2 linked regions of the Tribolium castaneum genome follow. The protein of the gene in region 2 interacts with the protein of the main gene of each other region in a pairwise test. Links are inferred from orthologs where the notes say so. Each region holds a gene or a part of one and is shown on either strand. Other genes may lie near its edges.

What was found.
Region 1: the proteins of Reps (region 2) and Rlip interact in binary tests that used the Homo sapiens proteins (3 or more experiments, as listed by UniProt). The link is inferred for Tribolium castaneum from reciprocal best matches to the Homo sapiens genes REPS1 and RALBP1.

Annotation. Positions count from the first base shown.
Region 1 is NC_087403.1:3,536,140-3,540,277, forward strand, and holds Rlip (ralA-binding protein 1), read right to left. Parts: upstream 2,661-4,138; 5' UTR 2,519-2,660; coding exon 2,431-2,518; intron 2,380-2,430; coding exon 2,250-2,379; intron 2,205-2,249; coding exon 1,996-2,204; intron 1,944-1,995; coding exon 1,682-1,943; intron 1,636-1,681; coding exon 1,458-1,635; intron 1,411-1,457; coding exon 697-1,410; 3' UTR 651-696; downstream 1-650. UniProt on the Homo sapiens protein: Multifunctional protein that functions as a downstream effector of RALA and RALB. As a GTPase-activating protein/GAP can inactivate CDC42 and RAC1 by stimulating their GTPase activity.
Region 2 is NC_087399.1:2,782,297-2,786,911, reverse strand, and holds Reps (ralBP1-associated Eps domain-containing protein 1), read right to left. Parts: upstream 2,823-4,615; 5' UTR 2,770-2,822; coding exon 2,620-2,769; intron 2,568-2,619; coding exon 2,153-2,567; intron 1,679-2,152; coding exon 423-1,678; 3' UTR 152-422; downstream 1-151. UniProt on the Homo sapiens protein: May coordinate the cellular actions of activated EGF receptors and Ral-GTPases.

The sequences.
Region 1 (4,138 bases), on a different chromosome or scaffold from region 2:
TGAACAAAGTAAACTACCTACATACTATTATAATCTAATCTTTTTAAAAACATTTCGTACAATAAATAAGATAAAGAAAGGGTGCCGAAGACGAATGGGCTAAAATTCCGGGTTGGTGAAGTTTCTGGGTTAAACGGAATCATCTGTGTAAACAAAGTCGACAATTTAATCAAAAGTTGAGCAAACTTGATTATGATTGTTATTGACGTGGGAGTCATAAATGGGGTTTTGGGTCACAGAAGACTTACCACGAGATGGTCCCTTGAGGCTTCGATTCAAAATGTGACTTATAACAATATAATAAAATGAGCAATGTATACACACTAAACACTAACGAAACTCCTTATCTTATTTATTGACTTTGCCAAACGCCAGCAAACATCACAAGGGACGGTCGTAAAAATCCAACAAATAACAATTAAAAAATTAAACACCTTCAACCACTTCCTATTCTAAAATAATATCGGACATGAAACAGTACGAACTCACTCCCCACTAAAAATAAAAACAACACGCACAAAAACATGTAAAAATACTCGACTTAAGTAGTGCTAGCGCCGCCTGTTGGCTTAGTTCAGGCGCATTGCTAGTTGCATACCGTAACCTTAGGCCCACTCCAATGTCAAGTCTACCTAAATTTAAACCCAGCGTCAATTTGAACATTTATTATATACAGTTACAATAATACTGGACACATTACGACTTGGCTAAAATCTGCGCTCTCAGCTCGATGCACATCTCCTGCTCCTCGATGATCTGGCGGACCAAGTTGATCTTCTTGATTTGCAAAATTTGGTTCTCCTTGAGGAACAGGTCCATGACTTCGTCCAGGTCCTCGTTGGGCACCATCGCCACGGGCGGCACCTCCCCCGTGATCTGCGAGCGCAGCACGGCGATCTGGCCGCGCTCCGCCTGGATGTCCTTCAGGAGCGAGTCTCTGAGCAGCAGCAGCCCCTCGTTCTTGAACTTCAGCAGCGCGACGCTGCCGTCCAGCTCCGACTCCTCCTCGCTGGCCGCCTCCTCGGGCTGCGCCTCGGGCTCGGGGGCTTCCACCTTCTCGACCGCTTCCTTGTCGCGGTTCGCCGTTTTCAGCTTGCGCTTCAGCTGCGTGATGATCCTCTGCACCTCCCAGAGGAGCTCCTCGCGCTGCTTCGAGATGCAGCAGACGTTCATCTCCTTGTGGATCTGGGTGAGGAGCGACTCCTGCTTCTTGAGCTCCGTCTCGATCTCGGGGGGCTCCTCGGGGAGCTTGGCCCCGGACTCGAGAGGGGGCACGTAGCGCGCGATTGTGATTGTGGGGAAGAGCGCGAGGCAGTGGTGGAGCAGGGCGTGGAGGAGGCGCGAGGAGCAGTGGAAGGTGTGGTTGAGGGCTGTGGAAATGGCTTGTTTGTTCATTTTGTTGCATTTTTCCTGCGAAACGCGCTATACTATGGGGGCTGGGGTGTTAAGGCACTCACATTCAGAGAAACGTTGTGTAAATGGGTGATGAGCCAGCCGAGGAGCGTTTTGTTGTGGGGAGGTAAAAGGTCCACTAAAATTTTTAAGTGTTTTTCGCGAGTGTTGAGATTAAGGATGGCTCCGGCTTCCTCGAAACGTATTAAAAGGTCGTTTGTAAAAAGTGGTTCTGGTAAATCTCTGCAAAGAGTTTTTGCCCATCATGTTACACCTAAGAAAAGGTTACCTTAAATAGGTTTTTACTAAACTTGTGACGGTTGGAGGGTCGTAGTCATTTAAATTGATATTGCCCCTCTGATTGTACATTTTACGTATTTGGAGAACTTTTGATTTTGTTCCGCTGATTTTGTATATGCCTTCGAACGACATACCTACGGTTTCTACATAGTCTATACATTCCCGAATGGGTAAAGGAATGTCTACACCGTCATGGCACCGGCTCCTCTCAACAGCCACGTCTAAACTAGCCCCGAAAATCGGTAAAATATCTGGAACGAACAATTCATTCCAATTTTATTGTCATTATGTAAGAGTTCTCACCGCCGATGTCAGCGGTCTCGTCAATTGACTGTTTGAGTTTCTTCGTTTTCTCACTCTTGACTTTCTCCTTGTCCTGCTTCTTGTCATTCTTCTTATCCCGGTCTTTCTTCTTGTCGAGATCTTTCTCTTTTTCGCGGGATTTGTCCCGTTTTTCTTTGGCTTTGGTGGAGAATTTGAACGGTTTGGCTTTTTTTGTTTTCGACGGGCTTCTGAAACATCCCAGTGAGGGTTTGAGTGATTGCAGGTGTGATTACCTCGACTTGAAATTTTCATCAGCTGAACTTTCGCCTTCTAAAGCGGCATAACCTTTGTCTTTATCCTTCTTCTCTTTGCGTTTTCCGATGAGAATGTCCTTTTTCAAGACTTTCTCATTTTCGTCACTATCTAGAAACGAGTTTTAATCGGGAATTAGTGGTTCACTTAATTTATTATTACAGTCGCTGTCGTTATTGCACTGCTTATTTAATTCGGATGCGTACAAGCCTGGGAAATCCTTCATTACGTCGGGGCTATCAAAATCCATATTGACACGGTTGGGTTTGAACTTTTAATAAATAATTATGACACTATTTTCCCAAGGGAATTTGTTGCTAAGCATGTTAAGCTGGGATAAAACAGAAACAACACAAATCAAGTCATCTGAGTGGTGTAATATGACAGGTGCTTGCCCTGCCATCTCTTGAAGGAACTGGTGTTGAGGGCCGCCTTAACCGGGAGATTCGAAATAAAAGACGAGCTAGTTTTGTAATTTTTTTTAATTTTTTTTACGTGTTACAGGAAGACAAATCTTTGACCACACTTCCACAACACACTTTACAAACTAACTTAACTATGTAATAAATTGCAAGGAGTTGAGCAAAAAAAACGTTTAATTATCACAAGATTTATGTGTTTTTTCGTCTCGCCTGCAATCAATTGTCGATTGCACGTGGTTGGTTGCAGGCGAGACGGAAAAGCAGATTTTCAACTATCTTAAAATGATGAATTAGTACTCTAAATACAATATTACGAAAACACATACAAAAGAACTCCTTGCCTGTCCTATGATTTACATTTTCATAAACATACCAAAGGGAAGGTCATTATAAAAATATATCAAGAGTAGTTGACACCTAAAACTGTTAACAATATAAAACAAATGGGATTTAGTCGTATTAATAAAAACAGAGTTTCAAGTAACAACACCTTTGTCTAGTCTTGCCCCTAAACCAGTTGTCAAGGGGTCCTAACACAACTTATAAATATCCTCAAGCTAGATCAAACGAGAGGAGTGAAAGAAAATCCGGCAACGTAACAAAGTAAAAAGTAGTCCCTACTACGGGAGAAGTGAATGAAAATCCGGCAACGTAACAAAGTAAAAAGTAGTCCCTACTACGGGCGGAGTGAAAGAAAATCCGGCAACGTAACAAAGTAAAAAGTAGTCCCTACTACGGGAGGAGTGAAAGAAAATCCGGCAATGTAACAACGTAAAGAGTAGTCCCTACTTTAGATCGAGGCTACGCGCAAAAAAAAAACAATAATATAATAACAAAAGAAACGGTGGTTGTGTCATTAAATGGTATTAGAACAACGAGTTGGCGAGTGGCGTTTATCTATAGTCTTGAAACAACATTACAACTAAATTTTTTTGGGGAAATGCATACCTTAAGTAAATAAGTAAAATTTACCATCGTATGATTGCCATTTTCAATGAAAAGTGCAAACATTCTTAGCTCAACTAAACGTACATTGATTGTATTGTTTTCTAATGAACCAACCTTAAGAAATCTCAGCTAAGCAGTTATACGTGTAGCCCAGCTACATAATGCTTAATATATTGGTACACACTAAAGCGAAAACGAAACAGCCTATTTTTTAGATTTTATATATGAAAGTATTGTGGAGTGAGCCCATATGTATGTACAAAGTATAGCGCAGTCATTACAATACAACTGATTAATGTAACCATCAAACTCACACAAAACTTTATGACTAAATCATTCACGTTATATAATAATAGAACCGATACGGTCTCCACTGACATTTAAAAAATATTGCGTTGCATAGCTTCATCTTGTAATTACTAGAAAAATATGAAACTGTCAGTTATTTTAAGGCAATGGCACTTGCGCAAATCTACTTACACTTTTATACATCAGTTATT
Region 2 (4,615 bases):
ACTTTTTTAAAATGGCGTCTTGTGTATTTTTTGCAAAAGAAAGAAACTTGCTTCAGAGACCAAGGAAACCGTGGTATTAAGGGATTAGGTTATTTTTTATCATTCGGAAATAAAGTGTAATGCAGAAAATGCGATTTTCCTTAAAACCTAATAATTTTAAAGTATTTATTTAATCTTAAAATACAGTCTTCCTATAGCTACACGAAAAAATATAAGACTTTGCTGCAATAGAGCCATATATAATATAAACAACCTAAATCTGACCAACATATAGATTCTTTCAAATATGATTTGATAACGTCATTAAAAAAATATTCTTTCACTCAATGATAAACATAATTGAACAATTTAGGCAGTTTATGGCACTGTCGGCCTTAATAATACCTGGAGATTCAACTTAAATAGCATTTGATTCATCTCAACTATCCCAGACTTAATTGTTTTTCTAATCTCAACTTTAGCGTCATTTTCTCTTCCCGAATATCGGCCAGTTCTTGACTCAACTCTTGACAAATCCTCAACAGCACCGTATTCTCCTCCTGCAACATTTGAAACAACTCCCACTTGGCTTTCTCGTCTTGCCCGCCTTCTTGATTCTTGGCCGGTTTTCGATAAACCTCAAACGCCCCGTGTTTTCTTGGCAATTCAGTAAACCTCGCAAAAATCTTCTTTCTCTCCGCTTCATACAAATCACCCGGAAAAATCCCCTCGTCCACATTTTCATACTTCTCGAAACTATCAAAGTTGGCAAAGGCGTCCCCTTCCGACTTCTGATTGGTCAGCTTCTTCGATTGGATATTGGGACTGACTCTGGGCGGGATCGTGGGCGGGGCTCCCAACTTGCTCAACCGGTTCAAATCAAGCGACGAGCTCCGACCGTGGCTTTTGAACGGTCTGGGCGGAGGCGGGGGCGGTTTTTCCTTCTTAGGCGGGGGAAAAACCGGGAGACTGACCGGCCCTTCATCCCCCGTTTGCGTGGTGGGGGGCGGAGGGATCGCCCCAGGGCCCGGTATGCTGATTTTTTTCGGCTGCGGCCGCTGGATGGCGCTATTATCGGTGAATTTCTTCGGACTGTGCGCTTCCGCATTGTCGACGGAGTCTTCGCCCGGGGGCGCCATGGGGCACTCTGGCGTGATTCGAAGCGGGACTGGGTGTAAGATTTTCGAGTCTTTATCGAGTGTGATTTTCTGGAAATCGAAGTTGACGGGTTTGGGGCCGGGGGAACTAACGGAGCTGGTGGGGCTGTCGACGAATTTCGTCCACTCTTTGGCGGTGTCTTTCGTTTGGGGGGAGAGCATGGGCTCGGTCTCGGGGCTCACGGACAGGGGCGTTTCGTTGCCGGGGATGAGGGTGGGCGGCAGGACGTCGGGGAGTTCGATGTGGTTGCGGCGCAAGACGACTAGATGCATCGCAGTGTTGAACTCCTGGAGGCTGAGGGCGCCGTCTTTGGTCACGTCGGCCAGCTGCCAGATTTTGCGGAGCTCGTGGACTGGAAGGCGCGATTTTTCGAAAAACATGCGGGCGACGGGACCGGCGAGTAAGGCGTTGGTGTCGGGCTGGAGGGAGCGGAATTGTTTCGTGTAGTAGTCGCGCTGTTCGGGGTTGATCGTCCAGATCTCGGGGCTCACTTCCGTGTCCTCCTCGCTGCTGTGCCGATCGCTCGACTCCTCCTCCGTCCCTAAACAAGGGAAATAAAAAAAATATTGCTAATAGTGTAAGACCTTTGTAGAAAAAAACTCACAATTATCTGCGTAATGAATTAAATGAAAATTGATAAAACAACAACTTGTATCACTGGATGTAGAACATACTCAAAAGCAATCAAATTTACGACTTTCCGAGTCGTTAATTCTTTAATTATGTTTCCGAATTGTTTGTTTATTGACCAAAAATAATGTGTACCACGCGTTGAAATATGTCGCAAGCGTCACTACATTAATTAAACAAAATTTATTAAGAGCCACCATTTTTGGAAAAGTGAACGTAATGTCAACAATTTCAAAATGAATTGATGAATGCAAATGCCGTCACACGACGCATTAATAACTCAATAGCTAGTCAATTCGGCGACACCTGCCTGTTTACTAAACAAAAATCCGTTGATTTATTGTTTTAACGAAACAATGCTTCATTATTTCATTCCACGACTCACCCAAGAGCTGTCTTTGTTCTTCGGAGACCAGCCCCTGCCAGGCCCCCCCGATGGCCCAGCTCCTGTCCTGCACACTATTCGTGGGCGTGGGGCTATCAGAGGCGGTGCTGGAAATTTCGGGCGACCCATTCCTAACTATACTAAGCGTATCACTATCGACTTCCGAGTCGGTGCTGTTCGCATCGACTTGTTCAACATAATTGGCATCGTTTCTCAGTTCGATTAAATCAGGAACTTGTGAATCACTCTCCAAATTATTCCAAGTAAACCTGGGCAAAGGCAACTCCAAATTGGAAGTGACTACGTCGGCATTTAACGGCATGTTGGCCTGATAGGCGGCGACTAATTTCAAAGCGGAAAAAAATTGCTTCCTAGACAAACTGGTCGTGGTTTGGCCCCAACAGATCTCTGAAATCTGACAGGAGAAATGTCAGAATGTGAGGTTAGAGAGTGAGAAAACCACTCACTTGGGATATGATGTCTTCGGGCACGTTGCCCGACTTGATTAATTCGACGGTTTTGGTCAAGGAGGCGCTCCCGGATTTTTCCTCGTCACAACAAAGAAAAACGTCGGAAAAATATCGTTGTAAAGTTTCTGACAGCTGTAACTCCTCCATTTTTGACAGCTGATGGAGCCAGGCAGGTAGACCAACCTTCGCCTTATCACTCGGGAATGTCTCCAACATAAATAATTCACCAAAAAAGTATTTAGATAATGAGGAAGAGATAAGAGACACAATAGACCAGATTACAACCATCAGTGTATAACAAATTTATGTAAAAAATGTACTGCTTAAATAAATGGCTCCAATTTCGGAAATTTTTGCCTGTGTTCTCGGTACCAACTGTGCCAGAAAGTAGCGACACTAGCGACCAAAGTGACCTAACATTTATGAATTTTCAAAAACAAATGTTCAAAAATCTAAACTATTTATAATAATGTTTGGTCTTATGTGGAAATTCTTATTCATCTGTGTTATGTTTTTTTGTCACAATTTTTCTTTTAATTTAATTGCATTATAATAAAATTGTTTGGGCGCATATTTTTTTTGCAGTCCCCGCGGGCCTACAGCAGGAAAACACCTCGCTGAGATAATAATAGTCGTTTTTCACCGTCAATTTCATAACCCGACCGCTCGGAGCGGTGCATGGACTAGATTTTTATATTAATTTATTTGCCGTCGTCGATTTAATTTAAAAGAAAAAATGCCAGAGTCGACTCGTTAAAGGCAAGTTCTGTCAGTTCTTGTCGAAAGTTCTTCGCGGACGGTTTCAGAACAACAAAAATAAGTGACCCTAAGAGGAAACCTGACCCTAACCGAGACAAAAGCGCGCTTATTTATCATTTAGGTCAGGGCCGTACTTGCGATTATGATTTTTCATTTACCTTGATCTTAACAAATGTTAGGTGTGCTGTAAGTGGTAATTGGTTTTGTGATTTTGTCGTGTCGGTAAGAAATATGAACGAGAGCGACATGCAACTGGCTAGGGCCCTTGTGGCCGATGAAAAACTCAATTCGGCTAATAGCACGCCGGGGACGAGTCCGACGCCGCTGAAGAAGACGGTGGTGGGTAAAGCTATGGAAAAACTCAACACTTTTCGGTAATTATTGTTGAATTCAAAATTTTAATAACTTGTGGTTGTTGCGGAAAGATTTTGGAGGACTAGGACTGAGGGGGCTTGTTAAGTACAAGCCCGGGTAGCTCAGTCGGTAGAGCATTGGACTTTTAATCCAAGGGTCCAGGGTTCAAGTCCCTGCTCGGGCGGCCAAATTTTTTTCTTTTTTCTAGTCGTGTATTTTTACAATATTTACTAATTTTTCCCGAAATAGTATTTATATCCGATAAAACCAAATGGTCGAAAATATGTTTTTACAATATTATTTTATTAATTTTATTGATTGCTTGTGAATGCAACAGATAAGATAAGTTTTTGCTGTTGTAATACTATTTAATGCCTGTGACTGCCGTATTATATTAGCTTACTCATATAGTTTTATTTATTAAAAGATAATTTAAAATCAAATAATCAAATGTTTTAACAATATTTCAACTAGTAGAAGAACAACAGTCATCTGTAAAATCAACCTTCGATAGCTCAGTTGGTAGAGCGGTGGACTGTAGAGGATCTTAAAAGTGGACATCCATAGGTCGCTGGTTCAAATCCGGCTCGAAGGAAACTTTTTTTTTCAAATTGCTTTTAAGAAATAACTGATTCACCGAGTTAAACTTTATAAAACTTTTTTATAAAACAAACTTTTTCAAAAGAATGCATTTAGCACAATAAAGCTTGATATTTTAATTTTAATGATAATGAATGATTTACTGTTTTAAATAAAAAAACAAATAAGTTTCAATACTATTAGTAATATTTTATAACTACTGATGTTTTTAATGTATTATTAAATCCTGACAATTTATAATAAAAGTAAGATGATACTGTTCATTAACAGTAGTGAACGC